Astyanax mexicanus: one gene and its partners. The main gene of each other region encodes a partner of the protein of the gene in region 3 in a complex. Links are inferred from orthologs where the notes say so. Each region holds a gene or a part of one and is shown on either strand. Other genes may lie near its edges. The genes, in order: snrpe, scnm1, snrpf and prpf31.

Region 1 (7,615 bases), on a different chromosome or scaffold from region 3:
GATCTTTGCGACTATTTCAAGTAACAGTTATTATTGAGCCAGTGAGCTTTTAAGACCATTCAGTGCCATCGATTGTTCGGAAATGTGCAATATAACCTTAAAATTGAGAAAAGAAATAATCACACAAATACAGCAAGGCTATCAACTATGCAATAGTAGTGTTGCAAGTTTTAAACACTGATAACGAAGGCAATGTTTGACATTTTGGTTTGAATAAAAGGCTCACTCCTCATTAGGCAATAAACTCAATTGCTACATATCAAAAATAAAAAGGTGTTGTTGCAATACTGTGCTGATAATACACACCAAAACGTAATGCTCAAGAATGTCAAAAACCCAGTGTTGACCAAGAGTTGTAATTAATACTGAAAAGTTGGGGGTTTTGGGTTAAAACACATTGTGAGGTAGAAAACGGCACCAAGCTGAGACACACAACTGTGAATTAGTTTGGGTTTGGGTTCAGGTGAGAACATATACCGAGTGGCAGTGGGAGGGCACAGTAAAGGTGATCCAAAGCGAACTGTTACACTTCGCCGAAGTTGGTGTGACCCGTCTCCTTGGCATGCTCTCTCGCCTCCTTTTGTCCCACCAGGCCGGTCTGGCACACCATGCAGCGCAGCGCGAAGCGGTTGACGTCCGTGTACTGCCGCTTGCTCCTTGCCTCGTCAGCCAGCTCCAGGGCCTGCGCGAGGATGATGTCGTCGGTAGTGGAGAAGACAGTCTGCGGTGGGATGTCCGAGCCAGGCGTTGCCCTCTGCAGCGGGTCGTAGTGGATTCCGTCGTAAATAAGCAAGACACGTTTCTGGTAGCCAGCATCCTCGCCAAATCGGTCCACACGAACAGTTTGCGTGTCCACGACACAGATTTCGCACTGGTAAAACTTGGACAGGATGGAGACCTCAATAGCACCCCCCCACGTGTCATCACGCCGGATCCAGGTGCAGTATTCGTCGTTGCTTTTGCCCAGTACTGCCTCTGAATAGGCAGCTGCGTCACTGGCCACGATCTGGGCGATAAGGCCGCGCATCTCGGGTGCGCAGGCTGGATCATACACACCCCCCTCCACCACGTAGTTCACACTCGTAAAGAGGCAGGAGTTGTCAGCAGGAACCACTCGGCGCTCCAGAACAGGAGAAGAATTTAGGCATGGGACTTTTGTTAGAGCAGCATTAGTCTGGACTTTTGGTTTGTTCTTTTCTTCTTCTACAATCAGAGTGTCTCCTGTAAGAGAGGTTATGAAGGGAAAGCGGGGAGACAAAAAAAACATTTTTGTAAATGTTCTTTCCAATAACCAAAGATATAGGTAGCAATGTGAACAAATACCAAAAACTATGCAATTCGGTGTGAAATGGACTTGAAACGTGACGACCAGCATTGCAAAATACAGCGTTTTTAGCCAATGCTCCCCAAACAGGCTTATGCATGTTAATGCACGTTAGAAGCTTTGATGAGTGCTCATGCAAATATCGTTTTAAGTTTTCCTAAACTCCTAACGAGCCACAACAGAGCTCCATACAGTTTAACCCCAAATTAGTGTGCTTTTTTTGTTGTGTCTGTCCCAATTTTTCAAAGTGTATACTTTACTAACATTGCCAAATAGTAAGTGAAAAACATCCTGCAACCTTCCCGCTTCTTCCTGCTTGTTAAAGAAAAAATATAAATACATAGTTATATGTTATTTTATGAAATAAATATTTATAGAAAATTCACTGAATTAACAAAAATTGTGCTACATCATAATATAAATTATCAGAATATCAGAATATCCAAATATATATGATATTTAGATATGAATATGGATTTTTTTTTTCTGGTTATATTGCACAGCCCTACTGGGTAAAGTCAATTCATGTTTAAAAATCAACAAAATAAAAACCTCACCTGATTTTATAGGGTAGTCTTTTAGGTGAGCATCTCCATTGCGAAGATCCAAGCTGGATGGTGGGTAGCCCACCATGATCTTCTGAACGTCGCATGGAATTCCAGTTAGCTCCTCTACCTTGGTTTTCAGCTCTTGGACACAGGACTGGTGCGTGAGGCCTTGCATCAGATGGGTTCCATTCTTGGCCTTGCACCTCAGTCGCAGCATCCTGAGTCCCTTCAGTTCTGCTTCGGAACAAACAAACTCAAAGATGTAGTATTACTTTTACTTGCTTTGGCTTCTTGGACATCTTTGTTGTCGTGTTCACAACTGGTTAAACTGTCAGTTCACAAATAAAGAAAACGTGATCCTTCTTTAAAATATTACGAAAAATTTATAAAAGACGAATCACAATGTCAGATATCGTTATTTACAGGAGATCCTAGACCTTGCCTCCTTTCAGACGTAAATATGAACAAAATTGAAATATATGCGTAAATTTGACCATGTTTTAATAACAATTTTACCTTTTAAGGAGCACCTATTTTTGTGGGTGTTTTCGCAATGGATTTCTCACACATGCTTCATCAGATCACAATAAAGCTGCTATTTGAATAGGTAGTGCACTATATGATCCTTTGAAACAAGTACTTTTACACTTTTCCTTGAGTAAAAAACTTGAGTTGTTACTTTAACTTCTACAAAAGTATTTTTAAACCACTATATCTATACCTCAACCTGAATAATGAATGTGAATACTTTTGACACCTTTGGTTAAGGCATTCCTGAGTAAATAATTTAATTCCTGAAAGGATATAGTGTGATTTTGGGGACCTAAATAAACCAAGCTGCTGACCACTGCCTCAGAACCAAACAAAAGGGAAATAAACAAAAGACACCTGGTTGTAATTGTCCACAAACAGTCGGTGAGGTAGCTGCCTGCCTAAAACAGACAGTCAGGTAGGTAAGTAGCTGACTGTGCTAAAACTGATGCAACAGCTTGGCAAACCCCTAAAAGTGTATCCAAATTTTGCTACATACTGTTAACCTGCTTGTAATGCTTTAGCTTCATTTATAATAATGTTGCACTGGGTATTGTAAGCTAATAATAGTTAGTAGCTTAGCTAACGTTAGCTAGCTAGGAAAGCTGCGTTAAACCACATAACCCAACCCAGCATATAGCTATCTTACAATAACCTAGAATATTTGCTAGTTAACTAGATTTAAACTCTAATAAAGCAGCCTTGTAACTCCCTTTACCCAAATTAATAAGAACTGTATTTTAGCTCAGCAATGTAACGTTGCATTAACGTTAGCCAGTCAGCTAATCTACCAAACCTAGCTTAGCTATGCTGGTCTTAATTCAGCATAATAGACAACTAGCTTATCTTAGTTTAGCAAGCTAACAGTTATCTTAGCAGCATCTCAGCGTCAATATTAAATGAACTTTTGCATTATTTAATCAAATACCGCCCTAGTTAACATCGCAAATCTGTCCCCAACAGAACCGTGCTCATATACGGTGGCTTTTAACCGTTAATTCGCTTAAATTGTCTGTATATCGTAGCGTTTCTCACCTCGGAGCGCCTTCCAAATAACAACACACTGGCCAACAACTGACATGCGCACTGCGTCACACCGCGTGCACAAAACAGTGCAGACGCAAGCAGTTGTTGAGCTCATGTCATCTTTCCACGTATGTCTGTGTTTATTTTTATGTATCAAGTTTTATTACATTAACTAAGTTACACGTTTTATGTATTTACATAAAAAACATAGCTTGTTATTTTAAATATAAAATAACTGCAATATTTAGAATAAGAAAATATCTTTTAACATTTTCACATTTTGCCACCTTACAACACAAAATTGTATTTGTAATGTAGTTGTATTTTATTGCGATTTTAAGTGATAGAGCAACATATAGTCTATAATATATATATATATATATATATATATATATATATATATATATATATATATATATATACACACACACACAAAAAAAAAACTATTAATTGGATTTCTGCATAAATTGGACAATAAATGTGTACTGATTTTCAAGTCACAACAATAAGCAAACACAGTCTGCTAACACTAGTGATGGGTCTGACGACCCTGAAACCTCGACACATGCGCCGAGCTGTCAAGGCGAAACCCCGTGTCGGTGCGCGTATCAAGTTAAGGAAAACCACGTGACCGATACACTTACTGTATCGTTTGGTAGCGATGGGTCTGACGACACTGAAACTTCAGCGCATGCACCGAGCAAACAAGGCGAACCCCTGTGTCAGACCGCGTATCATTTTAAGGAAAACCATGTGACCGATGCATTTCTTCGCGCAGTTGCTTGCAATGACTTTCTTAGTCCAGCAGATGTCGCCATTAAGTGATACAGCAACACAGTTTCAACACAGTGTCGATACAGTTTGGGAAATGTGCCATACACCCAATGAGGCTTCATCTGCCCATCACTATTGGTGAATATAAATCACGCGTCGCACAACAGAGCTCTCAGAAAAAAAAAATGTCATAAATCCATAGATAATTTTAAGTTCAATTTTATATGAATCCCTCTTCTTTTCTTAGTTTGAACTGTGTTTGTAAAATCAAAAAGAACAAAGAGAGAAGCGGTAGTAAAGGTAGTAGTTTCTGAGCGCAGGCAGCGTCTCAGGGCCGGTCTCTGTGTGGTTAGTCCTCCTGGTCGCTGCGCGGCGCTGTAGTAAAAATCAGCCCCAGGCAGCTCTCTCCGCGCTTCCCCCCGCCATCGCTGCTACACCAACGTGAGGAGATCGTTCCCCGGCGAGTTGTATTCTCCAGTTATTACAGTTATAATATTTATATTACAGCAGCAGCTCCAGCCCCGCGGATCAGCAGCATGGCGTACAGAGGACAGGGCCAGAAGGTGCAGAAGGTGATGGTGCAGCCCATCGTATCCTTTACTACTGAAACTGATTCACTGCTGGAGCTCCACTCCATTCATTTAGCTTTAGCTTTAGCGCTAGCTCTAGCTTAGCCTCTACTCACTTCTGTAATGTTACCTGCGTTAGATAACCTATCTAGCTTATCTTATTATATCGGACTACTCTAACTGCTATATTACTCGCGGTGGGTTAAATTACTGCAGATAGAATGTGTTTGGGGGAGTTTATAAAGAGTGCACTGATTCAATAACTCTGCTAACATTAGTTACATATAAGTTACGGGGTTAGTGTTGGGGCTGTACTCATATATATATGTATTTCTATCTGTATATCTGCATATCTGTATATCTATTTATGTGTATATCTGTCTATTTATCTGTATATTTATCTATCTGTATATCCATCCATCTATCCGTAATTTTGAGCATAGGGCAGGTTCTTGTTTGAGTTTGATAGTTTAGCTAGTTGGACTACAAGCAAGATAAAACTTACCAAGCTAATCTAGGCAATGGGGCTGAGCAATACGGATCAATTGTTAAATGGCGATATAATATACATATGTAAATTCCAAAAGGTAATTTGCATAGGTCATGCAGTAAAATGCATATAAATAGTATAGCATATAATAAATTAGAATATGTTGTGGTATTAAATGTTGTAGAGCAGTGTGTGTGTGGAAATAATCAGGTGGACTAGTTCGATATTTAATGAGAATGGCTTTGCTAAATTGTGATTTTTGCCTGTGCTAGTTGTTTGTCCTTGACTTCTGTCTACAGAATCTGATTTTCAGGTATCTACAGAATGTAAGTGCAGCTTTTTTATGGTTATTATTAATGGTCTTGTATGTGGGTACACAATAAGATAACAATGTGAATAATAAAATAAAGTGCAGACAATTTATTCTCATTTTATGACTGCACCGTATTTAATGGTTATATTGTGTATCACAATTGTGGTTCTAAGTTTGTGCTGTTGTTAATAATCTTTTTGTCCTCTTTTCTGCAGCGATCTCGTATCTCGGTTTGGCTCTATGAGCAGGTCAACATGCGGATAGAAGGCTGCATTATTGTAAGTAATTATTTACTGACCTAACTAATCAGAGAACACTATATTTGTACTTTGCAATAACATGCTTTCGCATTGCAAGCAGTAGCCACACCGCTATAGGCTGACCCTCATGGGTTAGTTGTTTCCCCAGCACCAGGACAGTTTGGCGCTGATGAAGACCACTGTGGAATGCGTTGCGTTTTCACACCCATAACCATACCTTTGCCATGCTACTGCTTACCACAGCAGAAAATGCATTGTAGTCCAAACATGGGCAAGTGAGTAATATTGACGATTAATACAGTTAGTTACACTCATATAAAAATATCAGGAAAAAGATAAGAATCAATGCTTTTTTTCTGACGTTAAGACAGATGTGTGTCTACAGATGCTGTAGCTACACCACACATCAAAACACTTGTAGATGTGACTCATTTTTAAAAACACTGGCCTGTTATCATCAGGCAACCCTTGGCATCAGCAGTAGCACAACACAACCACAATTGGCTAGCTTCCAGCAAAGCAGAAAGCAATGTGGCATACCGATGGCGATGTGAAAGCTCCTTAAGCCCACCTGACCAAATAGACTATGTAATGTTTTCTCCTTGTTTGCTTTGTGTATCTTATCAGTTCCACCCAGCAAGTAAGAGCAATTTGTAGTTCTATAAGTACAGACTGTAGTTCTGCATCTGTTTCTGCATACTTTATTATTATCCTTATTTTACCCTGTTCTTCAAAACTCAGGACCCCTCAAGGCCACCACATTTCAGTGGTGGGTCATTTATTTTCAGCACTGCAGTGACTGTGGTTTAGCATAACAAATGTGTTTGGGATGTTGGTATGTGTTCTGCTGGTGTTGGTACAAGTAGATCCGACACAGCAGTGCTGCTGGAGTTTTTAAACACCTCTGTGTCATTGCTGGCGTTAGAGTATTCCACCAACTAGAAATATATCCAGTCAAGTGTCTTGCTCTAAGGTGGTCCTGTTGGCTTCTGACTATTGAAGAACAGGATGAATGGATGCTAATAATGTATGCAGAGGAACAGATGTGACTAGAGTGTGTATGTATAGCTTTCAGTACAGACTAATGTCTGTTTGTATTTAACCTGTGAAATGTATTTTTTGGGGGGTGTATTGGATTCGTTAATGGCCTCTGTTGTATGTTTGTTTTAATGATGTTATTTTATCAGTGCTATTTCTGTTTTTATCTTCTGCTGTAGGGGTTTGATGAGTACATGAACTTGGTTCTGGATGATGCAGAAGAAGTCCACATGAAGACCAAGAACAGAAAGACTCTGGGTAAGGAGTAGGGATAGGACTATGTCAATGTATTTGGCACTATTTATGAAGCTAACAATGTCTAACTTTGTTTAAGATGGACAGTTATTTTAAAATAGTGCAGTTGTGGGGTCCAGTTTTTTTTTCTTTCTTTAATTTGAAGCAGCTGGCAGAGGTGAAGTCAGTTCTTACACAGGAGCATTTTCATACAATAACTAATGCCTTCATTACATCGCAGCTGGATTACTGTAATGTACTTTATTTTGGGGTCAGTCAGTCCTCCCTCAAACGCCTCCAGTTAGTGCAACATGCTGCTGCCCTAATTTTAACAGGATCATGGAAGGGAGAGTGAATAACTCCCATTCTGCCCTCCCTCCACTAGCTGCCTGTAATTCAAACTGATTCTTTTATTATTATTTTTTTTTAATCTTTAAATGGATTCACCCCACCTTACTTTGTTGAGTTACTCCATCCTCACGTTCCTGCATGATGCCTCAGGTCAGCT
Region 2 (7,409 bases), on a different chromosome or scaffold from region 3:
GATATAGTCACATGTGGGGGGCACATGGAAAGAGGAGACAAAAAAAAGATTTTTAAATCTGCTCCATTAATTGAAAGTAAATCTTGCATGGATTTTTGTGTTCAACACATTCTCATATTCATACACATGCACTGTATATCAGTTTTATATTTTTTCCTTGGGAACCAAATAAATTATGCATAAAAATACTAACAAATCCAAAGGTCTTTGGGCACACTGCATTTATTCATCATCAGCTGTGTGTTTTATTGGTACTGCTAGATTTTTATATTTCTGCATGGTATTACATTGTTAACAATGTAAGCACAGCGCACACAACCACATACATTCTACAAAGTATTCATCTAGAGCAATTCCCTTTGGCAATTAATCAATGGGTCATGAGATCTTGAAAACCTGAATGTTGCTCTGACTCTACTTGGTGGCATTCCTGTTTATGGCCATTCTCACAAATCTTACACAAACAAAAAAAGTCAAGTTTGAATTGGCTACAGCTTGTTAAAACTGCAAACACCAAATAAATAAAACACTGAACTGAAATCGATAAGAAATTAGGACACTAGTTAATGTAACGGCTTCAGTGATTAGCAATCTGTTAAATCCCTACAATAATGAGAGAACAGAGGGCACAGGGCACAGTGTTTCTTATTGTATACCTGCAGATCACTGCTCAGTTACAATTACAAAAAAATGGCAAGAACTAAAACTATGGATTTTGACAATGGCAGCATTTTACAAAGCAGGATTTCTCAGAGGGCTTAGTTTGCTCATTTCCACTGGACAGCAGAAACTTTTGGCTTACTTTTATCCAACTGAAAAATCCTTCTTTGTGAAATAAAACCCTGGCAGTCTCGCAGCTACGTGACAAAAACAAATCAACAAAACAAAATCTGTATCACATACCTTTAGTAAATAGAACATGAAATGTGCCTAGGAAATTAGGGAAGATGAAATGTTTTCATGTTTGGGCATTTTTCCCCATATGTATATATGAATATGCAGCTTATATAAGTATTTCTAACGGTCGAATCATTGACTAAAATCACATTTGCATACCACTTAGCTACTTGCAGCAAACGGTCATGTCTCAACAGTGTGACTAAACCTGCTCAATCGGTTAATGCCAAGTTAATTTGAGGAATTCTGCTTTGTAAACATAACTATCATCTTTTTTGTGAGGTAGTGTTTCTAACAGTCATTAAGCAAGCCATGTCTGATTTCTTGGAGGACTAAAAGACAGAAGTCATGGGACAGAAAATGCAGAGGAAGTAGTACTGTACAGTTTGTTTTGTGATGCAGCCAATAGTAGGCAACAGGCCAGAGTGCAAACATGACCTAAGGCCACAGCAGCACATTTAGTACAGTAGCAGAGCACATCACTCCCACAACACAATCAATCAGTCATCAAGTGCACAGATGCTGGTAGTCTGAATATCAAACACACAGCACCACTAGCTCAAAGGCATGAAATCAGACATCCTCAATTCATGCTTCAACTTGAAGGTTTTTTTTGCATACTTAAATACTTGACACAAGCCAGAGAGATCTTCTAAGCAGCCAGTGTCAGAGCTGAAAAATCTCATCCTCTTTGTCTCTTAGTTTCTTGGTACGTTTGGTGATTGTGAGAGGTACAGCCCCCAGCACTGCCTGTTGACCTTGGAAAGAAGCACTGGAGACATGAGTGCTGGGAAGCTGTTTCATTGATGAAAACCTTGAAAAAAATGTAAAGAACTAAATTAAAGTTCAACTTCCATACCCATTAATAAGACATTTGCTTCCTAGATATGAATGATGGACTGCAGAATAATATTTTGCAGAAATAACAGTGAAAAATTAAATTATTGTAATTTTAGTCCTTATTTTATGTCACTGATATAATGCTATTATAATAGCATAACAATGTATGTAAACATAACTTTATATTTTAACAATATAAGATTATATACTAAAGCAATTACTGCAAATACTCACTGTTTATCTCCTTCTTGACATGTTTTCACAGCTGCTTGTTTAGACTGATTAATCAGACTATCCATCCTTTTCAAGTAGTCCGATGGAGAAAGATCTGAAGTCACTTCTTGGCTTTCACAGTCAGCTTGGCCGTTTCCAGCGGAAACCTGCTGAAGTGACTTTCTCTCTTCTTGATTTGACACTTCATTAAGTAGCTCATTCTCATTAGCAAAGGATATTGACTCCGTCAGTACTGGGATGAAGAGGACCTTCTTCAGGAATATTGAATCGTTGGTGTACAGTCTGTTTGCCCTTTTGATTTGTTCCATCTACAAGAGGTCAAAAACAGATGCATTTAAATAGGCACAAGCTACTTAAACACAGGTGTATGAAGCAGCACCCGGGTCTTAGTAATAATGTGAACAGTACGATTATTAAATATTTACATAGTAGATAATGTAAAAAGTGTTTGTATTAAGTTTGTCATGTTCTTTTAGTCCACTAGTTATTATATTTTAAGACCATTTTAAGAACAATACCTAGATTTAAATGATTGAGAAAAATATTGAGATACAGTGTTTATGCTAGAAGGTGACAATATTGGTAATGTACATTCTTAAAACTGCATTTCATTTTGACAATTTAGGAACTAGAATCTTTCTTTTACTTACTTACACCTAAATATTAGATTTGTTTAAATACAACTGCAATCTAAAATCTAATTCTTATTTACCCTCATGACCAAACTTTAATTTAAACACAAAGAATAAAAGATTTTGATTATGGCTTATTATTGCTTAGCTACAACACTCATGTATAAATCCCTGGCTCGTCATCGACAGTTTCAGCGATATTTTACTAGCAAATAAGATGTTCCCAGTCATTAGGGCATACTACAATGTAAAATTGTGAATTAAGGGATGGATTTAGCCTGCCTGTCTTGCCAATGCTACGCAAATAGTTACTTTTTTTTTGAATATGGATAAAAGCAATACTACGTTTTACAACTTTTAGAGTAGAGCACTTTTATAAACGCACTTACAGACACGCCATACTTCAGGGACAATCCTTGTAGAGTGTCTCCTGGTTGAACCTTGTGTTCAATGCGTTTCTGTCTGACTGGTGACAGGGACGAAGTCACCAGACTGCCATAAGACTTGGTGCGCTGACCGCGTAGGAGCCCGTGTGATCCAGTGAGTGAAGATGTCCGGTCCGAGGACATGACGACTTTACTAGTTTACTGAGGATGATGATGATGATGATGATGATGATGATCCGTTTGGGGCTGAGAATTTTAGTAAGCAAGACAATAGGATGGCTGCTACATCTCGAGTAATACTGTAGATAAATAGCTAGTTATAACGTTATAGCTTGGTTAGGTTCACTAGGTAATTCAGCAATAAACAGTATAGTAATGAAACAGCTCACTGCCAAACAAGTTTTCTTTTCCAGATTGGACAGTTTCTTGTCCAACAACATAGTTAGCTATAGAGTTCATCCATCTAAACAGAGATAACAAGCTAGCTAACGCGAACTAACTACGTAATTTCTACAACTTTAACGTTAGCTCCATCATCAGATAAAGTTACACTAACGTTAACTAGCTAGCTCCACTTTACTGCTGAATATAAACCTCTAGCCTTCAATACAAAGAGGTTAACCCACTTAGCTACAAAAATAGAAAAAACGAGATAGGGTTAACTTACATGATTTATGCTAGAGGGGGGAAACTGCATTTCATTTTGACAATTTAGCAACCAACGTTACAATCTCACTTTTACTCACTGTTTACACACATACATATTAGATTTTAACCCACAACTAGCTAACTAAATAAATAACTTACACTGTCTGTAGCTAGTTTAGGATAGCAAGTAACTTATTAGGATAGTAGCTAAGTTACACAATAACTTAACTTACCCGTGTTAACCGGCCCATCCTGTAGACCACAACATGACTAGCTAGCTCTTCAGTTAAAAAAAACTGCGTTAGCTATCTGCCCACTTTAGGAAACATTTTAGCTCCAGCGAAGTTAACTTAATGCGTACTGCCAAATCTAGCTAGCTCAACATTAACTTAAACTGCGTAGCAGGATATACGACAGATTAGACAGTTAGCTAGCTAGCTAACTAGCGTAGCTAGTAAAATACGACATACCGACTCACCACTACGCTACGAAAAAGTTAGTTAGCTTGCTTGCTAGCTACGAGATAACGGACTTACTTATTAAGTTAGCGTAGCTAAACGCGGCTCAGTCTCTAAAATAGTTAGGTAAAGTTACGGCTAGCTAGCTAGTTGTACCAGAGCACGGAGCCCAGACTGTGGTGTTGGCGGTGTGACCGCGCCGCTAATTATAGTGAGCTGCACTGTAGTTATGTGTCTGTAATGGACTAGCTTCCATTAGCCTAATGCGCTCGCTAAGCTAATCTGGCGTTGCCATGGTTCCGCCCAGCGAGTCCCACAATGAAAACAGGAAGTCAGGCAGTCGGTGTGAGTGAGAAGTCCGCAGCACCTCGGTTAGCTAAGATAAGCTTAGCTCACTAACTCACAGTTTAATAAAACAATATGTCCTTCAAAAGAGAAGGCGATGACCAGAGCCAGCTAAATGTCCTAAAGGTAACGTAAACAACCTTAAGCCCCGTATGCTTTAAAGAGAACCGTGAGATGCGGTAGATGCTTTAAACGATTTGTTTAAGTGCAGGTTTGGCTAGTAGCTAGCTAGCTTTAAAGTTTGTGAAAGCACACAAATCCTGGCTTTAGCATGTTTAATATATTTAATAATTTGTGCTTATAGAAACGGCGTGTTGCAGATTTACTCTCCAACTTCATACCCGAAGACGAGGCCACTCTGATGAAGAATGGAAGGTGGTGTATGAATAAATATGCAGGTTGTAGCTAGCGTTAGCAAACCTACCGGATGTAGAATCAGAGTTAGCTAGCGTAGCCACTAAAGTCCCTGCACGCTTCTGTCATTTTTGTATTAACTATTGCCTGAAGTGAATTGTGGGGTTTTAAAGCTATATTTTGCGTTTTTGAGTTGCCAAAAGCATTTTACATGTGTGGCAGTTTACATAGCAAGGATTATGCCTAGTCTTCGACCACACAACAATTTAAATTGAGATGTTCCATAGAAAGGAAACTTAAAATAATAGTCTACAATTAGACCTAAATTATCCCAGATATGGATTAGGTCACCTAATCCATATCTGGGATACTGCTTCTTAGTGATGTGGATTTCATTAAGAGTGAAATTTAGTCGTTTTTCACATTAGCGTTAATCATTGTTCCTGTTCAAGCAACGTTTGGTAGTTAGTGTGTGCAGAAATAGGTGCAATTTTGCTATGTGACCAAATACATGTTGAATTAGGTCTATATTATTTTAAACCAAATGACAAATTAATGTAATGTCTAATTTATTTAATCAATTAGTATATAAATATACTCCTTGAATGTGCTATGTGCTACAACAGCATTTTTCATCAGTGTTGTGTTTTTCCTGTTGTGCACATTGTTTCAGAAGCCATTGCCCAGCACAGCTTTAGATTATGGGTTTTACAAAAATACCTTTATTGTGGATTATTTTCCTTGAATTTCTGGCCTGCCACCAAGCAACTCCCACTGGGGCAAAATGAAGCTTTGTACTTATAATATTCATATGTCTACACTTTAAACAATATGTATGGTATATGTGGTTGATATACTCTTCAGATGAGTAAGATCATCTTTGTATATGTGTAGTAATTTATTGACATTCTTTTGGATTTGATAGGTATAGCTGTTTAGTCTGTTCACATCGTCCAGTGTTTGATACTGTGGATATGCTGAGTGTACACAGGAAAGGAAAGCGCCATCTTGAAGGTGGGAATTTGTGTTATTATTGAGTTGTCTTTAAAAAAGTATTGAGGACATTTACAGTGCTTTGTTGTGCTTTCTTTTAATTAAACTAAAATTAAACTTCTCACACATTATTCATTGCTGTTCAAACACCAAGAATAGTGGTTGGATTTTGCTTAATTTAGCTTCACAAGGTCTTGGTGGATTTTACCTTATGCATGAATTTAACTTAATGAAATAAGTGCATCTGGCATTGTCTTGTTGAAATGTGTATTTTGTTGTTTTTTCGTCAAGTCTGTATTAGATCACTGTTGGGTTCTTTTCTTTTCTTCTTGGGTCTTCTACTGTCTAGGTCTAAAATGGTTTTATGGCAAAAAATCGCGATTACAGAACGAAATTGATAAAAGGCGACATCAGGAATATGTTAATAAGGAAGACGACCAGCAGGTAAAAAATAGCATGTTTGTTCAACTTACAATAATGGTACCCACCTTTTGCAAAATGTACAGTGTTGTAGATAGAACCATTAGAATTTCATAAACCATGTTTATTGGTTTAGGAAGCTGGAAGCTCAGCACCTTTACTCACACAGACACGGAAAATTACCCACCATGCCTTACTAAGATCTTCTCCTTACAGCAGCTGCCATAAAAAGGCCAGGTAATGATAAATACATTTCTATTTTGATATTAGAAACTCATTGCTATTTTTTTATTGTATGTTGTATTTTACATGATTATTATGTCAATTTAATATTATGCAACTTACACAATATATGACACTACATTTGACATTATATCAGTCATAATAAATGATATATATATATGTACTGTGTCTATATCTATAAGGGCTGCACAATGTAAAAAAAAAAAAAAAAGGCATTACAATAGATTTTTTTTTTACAATATATATTGCAGTGTTAAAAATGTTGAAATTTTCAGTAGAACACCAAACAGATCCTTATTTTAACAACTCACTCCATATTTGGAGTAGGATATATAAGTGTGTTCAGATTCTTTTAACAATTATTTGTATAATGTATTTATTTATCATAATATAATGGTTTTTAATTGTTTTAAGTGAAAGATCAGAGAACGTTACATCAAAAAGCTGTCTTCCAGAGAGCTACATATCTACTGCAACAAGCAGCATAAACACAGAACACAAACCTGCTGGAGAAAGTAAGTTACTATTATTTTACTATTATTATACAACTGTTATTTAGTTTTTGTTTGTTTGCTTGCATTTCTAGGATGCATCAGATGTTATTTTGATGCAGATGTATGCAGTTTATTTATAGAATGACTTTATTGTCCCCTTAAGCAAATCCGGATCAGTGCCAGAGTGGAAAACAGATGAATAAAAAGAAGGGCTGTAAGGCTCCCAGTGTACCCGAGTCAGAACCTCTGACTGAGCAGAGGCGCAGAGAACTAGAACACTACCTCAAATTAAAGAGGTATGACATTGTTTAGCCATTTCAGCACAGAGTTTTTGGCAGCCCATAATGGCTTTACTATGTGAGTAGTCAAATGAATTTGGCCTCAATAGGCAATACTTTAAATGTTAAGATTAAAATGCTTAATTCTAATGTTAATATCTATACCAATACATTGGTATGGTGCATT
Region 3 (6,891 bases):
ATCTTGAAATAAATTTGGAACACAAGCAAATACAAAATGCATAATTTTATTTGCACACTTGTGCCATCATAATTATGCTTCTATAGTGTACAAAACATTTTAACACATGAATTACAAAAGGGGGAGAAAAAAAAACAATGTTTCACATACAACTAAAACTAAATTATACATCTTTAACTGTAAGCATACTCCTCATTCCCTCATCTCCCCATCTTCTTCCTCCTCTTCTACACCTCTTATATACAAAACATTGTTACACCTGTGAAGGACAAGAAAACAATTAGTTAATTTACATTCTCTCCCCAGTTTACAGATAATTAATTAGTACAGATCTTATATCTCTGTTCCTGGTACATCTGACACAGTTCTATTCATTATACATTTCACAATAATTTGTTTTTGGAAACAGAACCAAAACAATGGATTGGCTCAGGCCAAATTGCTATCTAGCAAACAATTAACATAAAACAGGTTGAGGTTAAAGAAATGCACAATCAACTTAAGAATAAGAGATACATTTTCCACATTGATTGACTGTTGTAGCGAACAAATGCACTACAGTGGTTATATTGTATATGCACTATGCAGCAATATCATCAGTACAGCCACTCACCTGACAAGCACCTCGCCAAGGTGACCTGCTAAAGCTCCATCCACATACTCCTCTGTGTTTGCCAACTAAAGACAAAAATAGAAATATGTTGAATAATTGTAATGTTTATCTACTAAACTAAGCACTTTTTAACTGTCACAATTATGCCCTTGAAGTCATTATAAATACGTAAGATGTTTTTTTTTACTCTGAAGTAAAGCGAAATACACTCTAATCAAATGTACAATCAGTGTTCTTAAAGAATTGAAGGCATACTCAAATAGGTTTAAAAAAAAATACTGTAGGAAAAAAGTATGATAAGAATCTTATTGCCAACCTCTAAAGCATACTGTCAACTCCTGGCACACAATAAGTAAACAAACTTAAGATTTAAGAGTCAAATTAAGAGAACAATGTAAACTGTAGACACTCAAATTTACTCAATACTTCCATTATGGTAACCATAGTTGAACAGCCAAGACATGTTTGATGCCTGAAGTTTGCTTTGCTAGATTTGCTGCTCACCAGCAGAGACACTTATTTCACCCACTACCACAACATTGTGAGGGTGAATAATGCTCTACTATAGGGGTGAATAAAAAAAAAATACCATGAAATACTGTGATATTATTTTAGGGCCATATCACCATATGGCCCTAAAATAATATCACAGTATTTCATGGTATTTTCGCGATAACGATACTCTTGGCGATATAACGAAATACTGAATTTAAAAAATGATTTCAAGAATACACTAATGCACCAAAATAAATATTAAATTTTCTTATTGCACGTGATATGATATGGCACACCCTTAACTGAGATTTTAAAAAATACCAGAAATTACTCAGATTTGTAACAGAAGTCAATGATCCAGAATGTCACGGTACTAATAATGCGTTCTACACATCTCAATATATCCAGGATTAAAGTAAAATAAATGACACTGGACAGATATAATCTGTCTCTACTAGAAATAAAATGGAAAATGAGAACAGTGTGAATTTTCTTTTGCTAAAAACAGCATAAAAGTAGTACCCTGATGTGATAATTGGGGGTGGGTGATATGGCACGATATTTCAGGGTATAATATCGCTCACAATATCGTATTATCGCGTGCGAAACGATATGGCACACCTCTACTAGTAGAAGAGCCCCAACTACCCAACATAACAAATTAGCGGGTGAAGATTCAGTGTTACAAATGTAAATAATTACGTAAATGGCAGTTCATAATAAAAGCAATAAAACTACTCACCCCGCTTCCCTGAACTGTATCATAATATATAGAATCAGGCTTTCCAAATCCTACCGAGACTTCTGCCGCGAGAATTTTCAAATATGGCGTTTTTTCTCGTATTTTTAAATACGTTAAATATACACCGCGGTAGCGCGGTTTCACATGGTAGCACAACTCGTCAAAACACCGGCTCTTTTTAGTGAGCCGAACCAAAAGAACCGATTCTCTAGCTAAAAAGAGTCGGAATTTCGAATCACTAACACAAACTCCAAAATAATCCTACACCAAGAAGGGTAACAAAAACATGCTGGAGATATTGTATAGCTAGACAATTATTCTCTAAATTACTGTACATCAGTTATGGACCAGGGTAAAGTGTATTTAGAATAACGTTACCTGCATGTTCATGTATCCATCCACTGATACCAGGTAACCCTTGTACTCCATACCCCACTTCAGCTTCACCATCACGGGCTTTCCGGTCAGACCGTTCAGGAACGGCTTCGGGTTCAGCGGTAAACTCTGTGGAACAGAAGGGGAGTACAGCGGTTCAGTCTATAGTTAATAAACATAGTGGGGCTTTACTCCAGCAGACTGAGCAAGCTGTAGTAGCTAGCTAACGCTAACACTAGCTTCGCTAAAGTTCATTCACGAACACTACGTTTCTCTAACGTAAGTTAGCTACTGCTACACAGCTAGCTAAAGCTAACTTGCTAAGACTATTACAAACTGAATATATTGTTACACAAGCAAAGACTTCAGACTTAAACCACATTCAGTTCACCCATAACACAGCATTAACTAGTGAAAGTCTCATCTGTATGGTATTTTACTTCAGTCGCTTTAAACTAACTTACTTTAAATGAATGAACTGCTGCAGCGGGTCAAAGCAACCGGTTAGCATTAGCATGCTAGCTAACCACAGCACTCAGGTCCTCATCACTGTAATCACAGTTTTAAACTAAACCCGACCGTGTGGTTAAAGGCGGTCACGCTGAGTACTCACCATGTTTAATCAAAAAATATCAGGCTTCGGAAAACCTTCAAAAGTGTTTCATTCAGACGCTTGTGTTTCAGAAGCTCACTCGCACGCCTTGCCGCCAGGAAAGGGAAGGACCACGAGTGAAGAGTCGAGCTCTGACCCGCAAACAATAGAGCCGCCCGTACCACAGCGCCCCCGCGCCGCGCCGGAGGAGCTTTACAGCGGCTACACTTCATCACGACCAACAGGGGGCGCCCGGTACAGAGTATAGAGGAGTGAAAGATAACTCACTTATTATACAGCTCTAGAACAAACATTACGAGACCTCTTCAGTTTCAGAATCGGTTTATCTGATTTTTCTATTTATAGGTATATGTTTCAGTAAAATGAACATTGTTGTTTTATTCTATAAACTACGGACAACATTTCTCCCAAATTCCAAATAAATTATCGTAATTTACAGCATTTATTTGCAAAAAATGAGAAATGGCTGAAATAACAAAAAAGATGCAGAGCTTTCAGAACTCAAATAATGCAAAGAAAACAAGTTCATATTCATAAAGTTAAAGTGGAATAATTCTTCTCCACCAGTCTTACACACTGCTTTTAGATAACTTTATGCCACTCCTGGAGCAAAAAGTTCAAGCAGTTCAGCTCGGTTTGATAAGCTTTGGCTTGTTATAAGGTTTTCAGTTTGGTAAAATCAAAGAAACCCATCATTTTTAAGTGGTTTCTTTTTTTTCCAGAGCTGTATATCTGCAGTGAACGGAGCCACATGACAGGGCACGAGGGAAAACATTACATTGGATTTTACATGGGTGACAGGGGGAGAGGAAAGTCGTCTGAGTTTTTTTCTTAGATTAATAAATTAGATAAAAATATATAATACTTTACTGTACATTCCCACTCCTGCACACTATTAACACTTACATACAGCAGTATTTTGTATATATCCTATAAGGTATAGTTTATTTTTCAAGCCTCAGTTAGCATTTTCTATAGTTTTAGGTTTCTCACGGTGCTTGTACTATCTATCTATCTATCTATCTATCTATCTATCTATCTATCTATCTATCTATCTATCTATCTATCTATCTATCTATCTATCTATCTATCTATCTATCTATCTATCTAATGTTGTTCTCTTCAACCGCATTACCCGCTCTGGCCTTTAGATGGCACTGCCATTCAAAAAAATGAATTCGCCGTTCAACATTTTTATTATTATTTTAAAACTCAGTCCCAAAGGCAAAGTGAGTAAATAAAGACTAAATAACAAAATGCTTAATTTACGGTTTTACAGTAGGGACATTTACGAGATGCATTATGCTGGGTAGTACTTATGAAGAATCTAAAGCCACCTACTTAGCCTGGTAATTACGTGAGGAGTTGAATCAGGTGTGCTTGAGTAGTCCACCTTCCGAACACTGGAGGGTGACCCTCCAGGTCTAGAGCTGCACTACTTTTGGGAACTTAAACAACGACCCAGATGGGACTCAAACCCACAATCCCCAGCTCCGGAGGCTGATGCCTTATCCATTAGGCCACTGGGCCACAAACACAGTGTGTTTCACTGCCCCTTAAGGCTAAAACCTTTTCAAACAACTATTTTATGAAAATAATGTAATATCTTATCTTATTGTTTCATGTAATGGGACAGTTATTAAGATATTTTAGTGCTACTTGTATCATGTATGTTTGAATATGAAAATTATTTATAATCATACATTTAAATGGCTTAAATGTAATTCCCAGCACATTTCAATCTTGTTTACACTTGTTGGAGCACCACCTTAAATCATATACCTATCCAGTTGTTCAAATTGGTAAACCAAAAATACCACATTCATGAACATTTAAGTATTTTCCTCTTTTAAAACATGCAATTCCTGACTGGTCGAGTCACATGTGTTAGAGCAGGAAAAACACAAAAGATCAGCCCCATTAGACCTTCCATGTATTTTCCTGATCGTTTCCACAGATTACTAGTACAATTATACAGGGGACACCTTCTTAAACATGTAGTTATTTATCATTTATACGTGGCCTTCAAACACATTTCTCAGTGGTAACTTAAACAACAACCCAGATGGGATTCAAACCCACAATTTCCAGCTCCGGAGGCTGATGCCTTATCCATTAGGCCACTGGGCCACAAACACATGTTGATTCACAGCCTCTTGAGTGCAAAAACCTGTTAAAAATTATTCATTACCCTTATGCCCTTACCTTGTACTCATTATAGTCCTGCACCCTGAGGGTAAAGAGGCAAAAATTTACCCAAAATATTTTTGAGTGGGAACAACTATACAAATAAACAACGAACTGTTTAACGTTCTGTTTTACAGAAGGGACATTTAGGAGATACACTATAAAATTACTTACACTGGAAATCATTGCATGGCTGCGTCCAGAAACCCCAAAAGTGTCTCAAGAGGCTGATGCCTTATCCGTTAGGCCACTGGGCCACAAACACATGTTGATTCACAGCCTCTTGAGTGCAAAACCCATGCCAAACTATTTTTATTACCCTTATTCCATTACCATATACTCTTTTCTGCACCCTTAGGGTAAACAGGCAAAATATACATTGAAATTGAGGTTTATTGAAACAAAAAAATCTCAAAACATAAGTATTTAACCAAAATGTTTATGAGTGGGAGCAATTATACAATGAACTGTTTAATCGTCTGTTTTACAGAAAGAACATATAGAAGATAAATTATAAAAAATACACATATCATTGCATGGGTATTACTTATGATGAATCTTAAAGTGAGTTTGGCAGTTGACCTACTTAAAGCCACCTACTTTGCCTGGTAATTCACTGAGGAGTTAAATCAGGTGTGCTCTGGTCTGGAACTGTGCACCCCTGTTGGGAACCTAAACAACGACCCAGGTGGGACTCGAACCCACAATCCCCAGCTCCGGAGGCTGATGCCTTATTCATTAGGTCACCGGGCCACAATGTCTTGGTAATTAACAGCCTCTAGAGTGCCAAACCCTGTCAAGTAATTATTTTTTTCCCTTATGCTCTTACCTTATACTCTTTACAGTCCTGCACCCTAGGGTAAACGGGATAAAAGGATAAATTAAAATTGAGGTTTATTGAAACATCAATCACAACACAGAAGTATTTACCCAAAATGTTTATGAGTGGGAGCAGCAATAAAATAAAAAAATAATTACACTGGAAATCATTCCAGGGGTAGTACTTATGAAAAATCTAAAAGTGAGTTTGGTTGCTGGCCTACTTAAAACCACTGACTTTGCCTGGTAATTAACTGAGGAGTTAAGTTTGGTGTGTTTTGACTATAGTCCAAGGGCCAAAGTCTAGAACTGTTCACTCCTATGTGGAACCTAAACATCGACCCAGGTGGGACTCAAACCCACAATGGCCAGCTCCTAGAACTGTTCACTCCTATGTGGAACCTAAACATCGACCCAGGTGGGACTCGAACCCACAATCCCCAGCTCCGGAGGCTGATGCCTTATCCATTAGGCCACTGGGCCACAAAGACATGTTGATTCACAGCCTCTTGAGTCCAAAATCTTAAAAAAAAGATATTTTATTACCCTCTAATACCCTTATGTTCATATTAATGCTAGTTTTTTGAAGTATGTTTGACTGTGTATTCGAAATGTAATTTGATTTGACTTTTATTTATTTATAAGGAAAACAATTTCAGTATCTGCATATTATATTTAAGAACTAACAGTATGTTGCTGTGCAAAAAAAAAACAATTGTCTTGATTTCTGTAGATTTTTAGTTTACTACATAATTTGGACACACAAATTTTCCCTTATTTCCCTTATATGTCAACATTCCTTGATGTATGCACAAATAGAAAATCTCCAAAATTACCAAAAAAAACCTCTTTTTACATTGACTTCCATATTAAAAGTTAAGATGGTTTCACCTCTTTTCTGAAAAGTTGCTGTTTTGGAGATACTTGTTTTTATTGGACAGTAACAGTATATGGAATATATAGAACCAACAGTGAAGTTACTTTTTATCTTATGAGTTTATGAGTTTTATACGTAATTTGGAATCAGGTTTGCACCCACAATGTGAC
Region 4 (7,098 bases), on a different chromosome or scaffold from region 3:
AGGACTGACCACAGAATTGGTCGCAGACGGGGAGTTTCGAATGGAAGTGATCCTGAAGAAGATGAGGAGGAAGAGCAAGAGGATGAGTCATCCAGAAAAGTTATTGTCATCACGGAAACAGATGTTCACAAGCGAGTAGGCCTGAGGAGCTTGCTAAAATCGCCCAAGGAACCCTTGGACAAAGAGAATCGTGATCACGGAAGAAATGTGTCCTTTTTTGATGATGTCACTGTCTATCTTTTCGATCAGGTACCGGTCACACATTTAACTTTGTGTAGAGACTAAAATGTGTCTAATATTCTAAAAGAACTGCCTTTAAATCATGTTCTTTGTCCAGAGAGAGGAGAAATGTTGTTAATGTAATTTTCTTGTTGCAGTAAGGCAGATGTTTACACTTGATTTGTTCTTTACTAATTAACTTATCTTGTAGGAAACTCCAACTAATGAGCTGAGTTCTGGCTCTGCACCCACAAGCCCGTCTCCCCTTGGAAAGCCTGCTCACTTCGATGGACTTGGTGAGGGCTTTCACATTTAGCTGCATAAAGCTAATGCAGAATTTACATAAACATATTAAATTAAATACATTGCAGAAAACTGAGAAGACCATTATTTTACATCATCATGTTGTGAACCATGAATATTCATTCAAAATGTTTGCTTGCTGATTAGATGAATACAGAATTTACATAACTTACTTTTAAATATTTTTTTAAGCATTTTACATCAATATGTACTAAATTATGTGCATTCCTTCAAATATGTTTGTCCACTGGTTAGAGAACTGCTGCCTTTTCACAACGAATGCTTGAATATAAAACCACTTCTTTTAAGTGCCAGACTGTCTGACTGTGAGTTTGAGTTGCATTATTTATTTGATTAATTTTTCACAAATCAGCACTAAATTTAGATGCTCTCATTTCACAGCCCCTCTTGGAGTGAAAAGCAGTTCAAAGCTCTGCTCAAGTCTATTTCAGGAGTACTGGATCCTGAAATCCTGAGCTTTTATATAACAAGAGATGAGTAGGAGAAGTATAGTGCTGTTGACCCTTTGATGTGGTTTAATCTGAGTTAATTAATCAGCTTCACACTGTGTAATCTAATGTTTGCATTTTAGATCAAATTAGCTAAAGCCTTTAATCTGATAAAATGCACTTCTTAAAGCTAAATATGGAAAATTATGTCTTTATTTATATAACTTTGGTAAAGTGGGCAGGACAACTGTTGTGAGAAATGACTAACACACTTCATTTACTTCTTTCACCCTTGATATTGGTTTTATAGACAAAACAAGACAACCATATTAGTGCTAAAAGAAAATGTAATTTTTTTAAGCCATCGTTGCACATTTTGTATTTAAAACAGTGGTGTAAATGTGAAGTTACTGCAGCAAGCTTGCACTAGTGAGTTCAAGCGCTCATGGAAGTTGTAGTTAGTTAATCTTAGTAATTTATTCATGAGACATTATAACTACATGATGTGTGCAGTATTGAATAATACTTCCTTACTGCCTAAGGCATCTACTTGTGGTAGGTGTAGTCCATCAAGTAATTTAGATGTTGGGATTGGGCCTCAGTAGGCCACAAAATACAAAATGCCCCAAAAGTTAGATTTAGAAGTAACCTGTATAACTTGTGAGATTTATAAACAGACCTCTTGGAGTCCATCTTAGAAATCCCAAGTCTAAGGCAGTATTTCTCAATTAAAAAAAATGAAGAAATGTTCAAAAAATTGCACCCTATGGTAAGCAAACCTGTTTCAAATCCAGTATTTGTTCTATGTACATTTGTCTCTTAATAATTCCCAGACCTACGAGATTGTTAAGGAATCTTAATTTTAACATCCTTGCTAAAAGCAGACCAACACACAGCACTAAGTAATAAATTGCATGTAATCATTTAAATAGTTTATCTTTAACATTATTTTAAAACAACACCAGCAACTCTTTTTAAAACTTTTTTTTACTACTGTCAATGCAAGTCAACTACAACATTTAACAGAGCTTTGATTTGGTTTAGGGTATTTTGGTGAGGTCAGTCCAAAATCAACAATATCCATATTTTAACAGTCTCATAATTCATCCACTACTAGCGTACATGATTCCTTATGTATTTCTTTAAAGTCTGTATCACTTCAGTATTCAGGAAAAAAATAATAAAAACATTGAATGAGAAGGCTTGTAGAAAAATGCAAAATATTTTTATGTTTTTTTTTATTATAAAAAAAAAGTGCTGTGGGACATTAAACTTAGCTTAATGCTTTATCTTTTTAATCACATGTATGTTTTTTCTGCTAGGAAGCAGCAATCACAAGACCAGCAAGAACAAAGACCACATAAAGCCAAGGTCTCCCACAGGTGTCAGTTCAGTCCCACCATCACGCTTCACCGTCAGCCCTGCCAACGACCCACATTTGGTGTGACCCACTATTCCTTCCTATACACCTGGAGAAAATGTAGCTCTCTGGAGTGACAGAGTTTCTCTGTGGTCATCGTGAAGCACGGTGGCTTCTGGAGGTTATTTTTTTAAATCAGGCTAAAGACTCCTGTTTTCAAGGCTGGAGGTGTTCCAGGTTTTACTTTGCTGCGGGAGCAGGTCCGTCCTGTGCAAAGCAGGAACCTCTACAGCCACGCAGCCGGGAGCTATGTAAAATCTGAAATGGAGTTTACGGCTATGCAACGGGAGTCTTATTGTGTACCAGCTTAACTGCTCTATTTTCATGGCTTCTTGAAGTACATTTGTATTCTGATCCTCTTCCACACAAGAGGAAGCACTTTCTTTGACCAGTACCTGTCTATTTGTGAGCTCGAATAGAAATATTGCCATTGTAAATTTGTTCTCATTGCAGTCAAACATCCTCGTAGGCTTGAGAGGGAAATCCCACCCTCCCTATCTAACAGTGCAGTGCTCTTTTAGTATTTGTACAAATGGATAGTGAATTTACTGTACAAACTCCATTTTAAAACCATTTATTTTAGATGTATTGTTAGAACGCACGACACAAAATGAACCTGCTACCTACTGTTATGTTTTATACTGTATTTTTTATTGCAAATTGTTGTTTGTTTCTGTATTTCTGTTTACTTCATTGTGTATTTAATTATTTATTTATTTATTTACTGTACGACTGCAACAATTGCACAATTACTTTGCTTTAATTGTTTTTGGATGCTGTGCATTGTTGAAATAAGTTGCTTCATCCATCTCATTAAATAAAACCAGATATTTCCATAAGTATAAATGCTTTGAAATATTTTATATCATTTACCGATTTCTAGATGTTAGTCTGTATCTATTTGTCATTTACTGTGTCTGTTTATAAATGTTATTTTTAACTGTGTATTTGACATGTTCTCGTCATTACTTACATTCAAAGCAATTACTGTTGCTAAGCATGGAGGAAAAATGAAGGCAGTGCACATGTCCATGAATTGATCTGTTTATTCAACTTTAATTTGATGATCAGTGATTGGTGTCGAAGGTGAATCAGAACATTTGTAACGTCGCTTTCAGCATCTGTTTCATTGCGAGGTTTCTTGAGGAGGTTCTGGGTAACCAGGAGTGGTAAAAAACAAAGACAAAAAAATAAAACAAAACGAATAAAACTAAATCACATGGAGACTGTGAAACATTTAATGAATTGTTTGATGAAAATAAATTGTACTGGCTTATAATAAATACCCTGCTGTATTGAAATTTTTGAGAAATATTTAAAATTTCCAAACAACTTTAATTTCATGTAATTTATTTAAAATAATTGATTAAAAAAATATAATAAAGCTTGATTGATATGGGCGCAAATTATTGAAATTTTAATTTAAAGCTGTGAATTGTGTTTTGTCAGAGCTGGTTTACGCTTCCTCAGATATAGCTCTGAAAAAAAAGAGTCCACTTTGACCAAATATTAAACTTTTTGCATTATTTGAGGTCTGAAAGCTCTGCTTTTTTGTAATTTCAGCCATTTCTCGTTTTCTACAAATAAAAAAGTGGTCTCTTATTTTTTTTTTTTTCAGAACTGTATGCCTTTTGTCTCAGTGAAACTACATTTCCCACAAGGCTTTGCGATCTACTGCGCTATTAACGACGCGTTTAACGTGCGACCGTTACGACGAGACTGCGTTGTTTGTGAATGGTTTTGGTTAGTTTCGCTCGTTTTTAAACAAACTGTATTTTGTTTGTAGTCTGTTACCCGTGCCGTGTTCCGTTGTGAAGGGTAGGAACGCGTTTATAAGGTAAGTAGTAATGAGTTTAGTCCTCTTTTAGAGCTTACTGAATGAAATTATAGCGAATAGTTCAGTCCGGTTCAGTCGTTAGTTACTTAGGCGTGCTTAGTTTACTGATAATAAAGTATTTTAAACTGTTATTTCTGTTAGAAACTATCACTGTAACTGCTTGCATTACCAGAACTTAAAGTGTGTGGGTTAGCACTAAGCATGCTAAAAAGTACTTTTAAATCATGTAGTTAAGCTAATCTACTGTGTTTTAGTCTCTTTTTAGAGTAAAGGAATTCTGTTGTACTTGCTTGTAGCTTACTAGCTCTCTTCAGTTCCAATTTCACATGTATTTAGTTTAATGATGTGTGAATGAACAGATAAAGACTGAGTTTACCATTCTCATATCTCCATGTTCTAAACAGAGTGGTCAGGTAGGCTCTAAGACCTTTTTGCTGTTTAACATTTTTTAAAAACATTTTCTTCAGTTTTTGTTATTGAGAAATACTGCCTTAGACCTGGGATTTTTAAGATGGACTTCAACAGCACAACAAACATCCTCAAGAGGTCTGTTTATAAATCTCACAAGTTATACAGGTTACTTCTGAATCCAACCTTTGGGGCATCAGCATCCTTAGCTGCACTATATTTGTTTGGGTAACCAGCAAAAGCTGTTACAGCCAGAAAAAAAGGTCTAGGGACCTACCAGACCACTCTGTTTTTAGAATTAATGTAGGCCTATGTGACCTATATTTGAAGAAGTGGTAACCAAAGCACACTGGTGCCATTTATTTTTCTGTCTTTTTTTCTAATGTTTATCCAAATTTTGTCCCAGTTTACACAGTTAATTACCCAACCCACTCATTAGGACCCCTATCATAATGCCCCAACATCAGGAGGATGTAGATTAGCACATGCCTCTTCAAATACATGCCTGCCAATGCAGCATTGCCCTGTAGCCAGTGCACTCGAAGGAAAGCACATCGACCCGGTTCGGATACATCAGCTCACAGAATTAGCTTTTATTTGTAATTAAATTAAGCTGTTTACTTTAGAAGGTGATTTGTATCCATATATAACCTTTTTCTTGGTACAAAGTTAAAGTTCCTTTATTTATCTCCCAAGGAAGAAATTTTGCTTAGACACAGGGCATGCTGCAATACAACAGACAGACAAACCTAGACAGCAACATGTGACCAGAAGCCATAACATTGCTGTACATCGATGACTTGGTGTATTACATTTTGTACTTCTACAGAACCCCACAAGCCCCATACAACAAGGGTATACTTAGACCTCAATGTTATTTAGCTGCTCTGTGGTACAAAATGGTGTTTGTACCTGTTATTCCTGCACAGGGGAACCTTGTATCTCCTACATGAATTCATGAGCTGATACTCAGGATACAGCGCATGTGTGTTATCAGATATAATATTTGCTTCTGGTATTTAAGGATTTATATCGAACAGAAGTGAATCATTTAGTTTTCCCACCCTCTATTAACACTCTCCAGCCCGTAAAGCTGTGGCTGCAGTAGATGCAGGCTTACTTAAAATGGACAAAACATATAGACTGGTATGATATATCTTGAGGTCTGCTATGAACAGAATCTGGCACAATATTTTGAATGCATAGACCTGACCCGCCTTGTTTCAGCAGTTCTGACACAAGACACATTGCTGTGGCCCCTGGAGATCAGTAAGAGTTGAGGGCCCAACATTGGCGGACCGCCTAACTCTGGTATCAAACCCAAACCCTTTTCCTCAATGGTCCAGTGCTTTAACAGCTGATCTACCACTGCCCACAAAGGTAGAGGTGGTGTAATGATATTTTCTAAGCAGTGGTTTGAGTATTTTTGATTTGTGTACATTCCTGTAAGATCATAATTAGATTATATTACTATTTCCAGGATGATAATTTATTATGTCAGAAAGTAAATGTAGCAATGAGAATAATACAAATGAGCAGTGCAGCGTGTTTTTCCAGACTGGTCAGAATTCCTTAAAAAATATGCTCATAAGTTTTCTCCTTTAACTTCTTTCAAAAGCATAAAAAAGCTTTGCTGATTGGAGCATACTGAGCAAAAGACTAAATAGGTGTCTAAATAATTTAAGAGACCCAGCTGATAACAGATATTACAAATTGACTCCTAATAATGCCTTTCTTCGCAGATGTCTTTAGCGGACGAGCTGCTGGCAGATTTGGAGGAAGCAGGAGATGAAGGTGAAGATGGACTGTATCCAGGAGGGGAAGGCGAGGAGAGTGATGGCGAAGACAGAGAGAGAGAGGACAATGGAGGCCTGGAAGACATACCAGAGGAGATGGAACTGGACTACAGTGGGGCAGAAAGCGTGTCGTCCATCGCAAAGTTACGAAACAGCAAATCAGTCAGTACCCCAATGAGTAACTCAATCACTGTTCATAACACCTGCTCACTTTCTCTGTCTCTAAACTGTGCTTCTTGTTTTGGCAGTTTTCTGAAATCATGGAGAAGATTTCTCAGTATGTAGGGAATCCACGCAATAACACAGATGGTAAGAAGCAACCTCCTGGAATTAGGTTGGTGGTCCACGTGGAGGTGTACCCTGAATAGCAGCACTCATTTATTGATCTTTTCCCACTTACAGTATCCGGCCCTGTGGAAGCAGACCCCGAGTACCGGCTCATTGTTGCTGCCAACAACCTGACTGTGGAAATCGATAACGAATTGAGTGAGTTTGGTTTAGTCATTTTTCTTCTTATGCTTTACATACGTTTTTAGTTTTATTGTTTGGATTGTGTGTTAAGGAGGATTAGGGGTGTCACGATTCTCTAAATCCTCTACTCGATTGTATTTCCAATTTTAGGGTCACGATTCGATTGATTTGGTTCTCTTTTTTCTTTTTCTTTTT

Evidence for each region.
Region 1: snrpf (region 3) and snrpe share a complex: the UniProt entries of both Homo sapiens proteins name them as parts of the U7 snRNP complex. The link is inferred for Astyanax mexicanus from reciprocal best matches to the Homo sapiens genes SNRPF and SNRPE.
Region 2: snrpf (region 3) and scnm1 share a complex: the UniProt entries of both Homo sapiens proteins name them as parts of the minor spliceosome. The link is inferred for Astyanax mexicanus from reciprocal best matches to the Homo sapiens genes SNRPF and SCNM1.
Region 4: snrpf (region 3) and prpf31 share a complex: the UniProt entries of both Homo sapiens proteins name them as parts of the U4/U6-U5 tri-snRNP complex. The link is inferred for Astyanax mexicanus from reciprocal best matches to the Homo sapiens genes SNRPF and PRPF31.

Annotation. Positions count from the first base shown.
Region 1 is NC_064431.1:7,027,281-7,034,895, reverse strand, and holds the start of snrpe (small nuclear ribonucleoprotein E), read left to right. Parts: upstream 1-4,597; 5' UTR 4,598-4,739; coding exon 4,740-4,793; intron 4,794-5,561; coding exon 5,562-5,588; intron 5,589-5,790; coding exon 5,791-5,853; intron 5,854-7,052; coding exon 7,053-7,131; intron 7,132-7,615. Other genes in the region: yod1 (ubiquitin thioesterase OTU1), read right to left, coding at 524-1,221, 1,882-2,109, 3,439-3,544. UniProt on the Homo sapiens protein: Plays a role in pre-mRNA splicing as a core component of the spliceosomal U1, U2, U4 and U5 small nuclear ribonucleoproteins (snRNPs), the building blocks of the spliceosome.
Region 2 is NC_064413.1:39,899,312-39,906,720, forward strand, and holds the start of scnm1 (sodium channel modifier 1), read left to right. Parts: upstream 1-4,397; 5' UTR 4,398-4,515; coding exon 4,516-4,566; intron 4,567-4,744; coding exon 4,745-4,815; intron 4,816-5,719; coding exon 5,720-5,808; intron 5,809-6,136; coding exon 6,137-6,231; intron 6,232-6,343; coding exon 6,344-6,444; intron 6,445-6,864; coding exon 6,865-6,965; intron 6,966-7,107; coding exon 7,108-7,240; intron 7,241-7,409. Other genes in the region: lysmd1 (lysM and putative peptidoglycan-binding domain-containing protein 1), read right to left, coding at 1,564-1,711, 1,972-2,279, 2,993-3,172. UniProt on the Homo sapiens protein: As a component of the minor spliceosome, involved in the splicing of U12-type introns in pre-mRNAs. Plays a role in the regulation of primary cilia length and Hedgehog signaling.
Region 3 is NC_064415.1:29,819,674-29,826,564, reverse strand, and holds snrpf (small nuclear ribonucleoprotein F), read right to left. Parts: upstream 3,006-6,891; 5' UTR 2,842-3,005; coding exon 2,839-2,841; intron 2,355-2,838; coding exon 2,229-2,354; intron 679-2,228; coding exon 614-678; intron 260-613; coding exon 193-259; 3' UTR 31-192; downstream 1-30. UniProt on the Homo sapiens protein: Plays a role in pre-mRNA splicing as a core component of the spliceosomal U1, U2, U4 and U5 small nuclear ribonucleoproteins (snRNPs), the building blocks of the spliceosome.
Region 4 is NC_064413.1:29,852,317-29,859,414, reverse strand, and holds the start of prpf31 (U4/U6 small nuclear ribonucleoprotein Prp31), read left to right. Parts: upstream 1-4,087; 5' UTR 4,088-4,228; intron 4,229-6,378; coding exon 6,379-6,594; intron 6,595-6,680; coding exon 6,681-6,741; intron 6,742-6,834; coding exon 6,835-6,918; intron 6,919-7,098. Other genes in the region: uncharacterized protein lmtk3, read left to right, coding at 1-249, 431-515, 2,294-2,418. UniProt on the Homo sapiens protein: Involved in pre-mRNA splicing as component of the spliceosome. Required for the assembly of the U4/U5/U6 tri-snRNP complex, one of the building blocks of the spliceosome.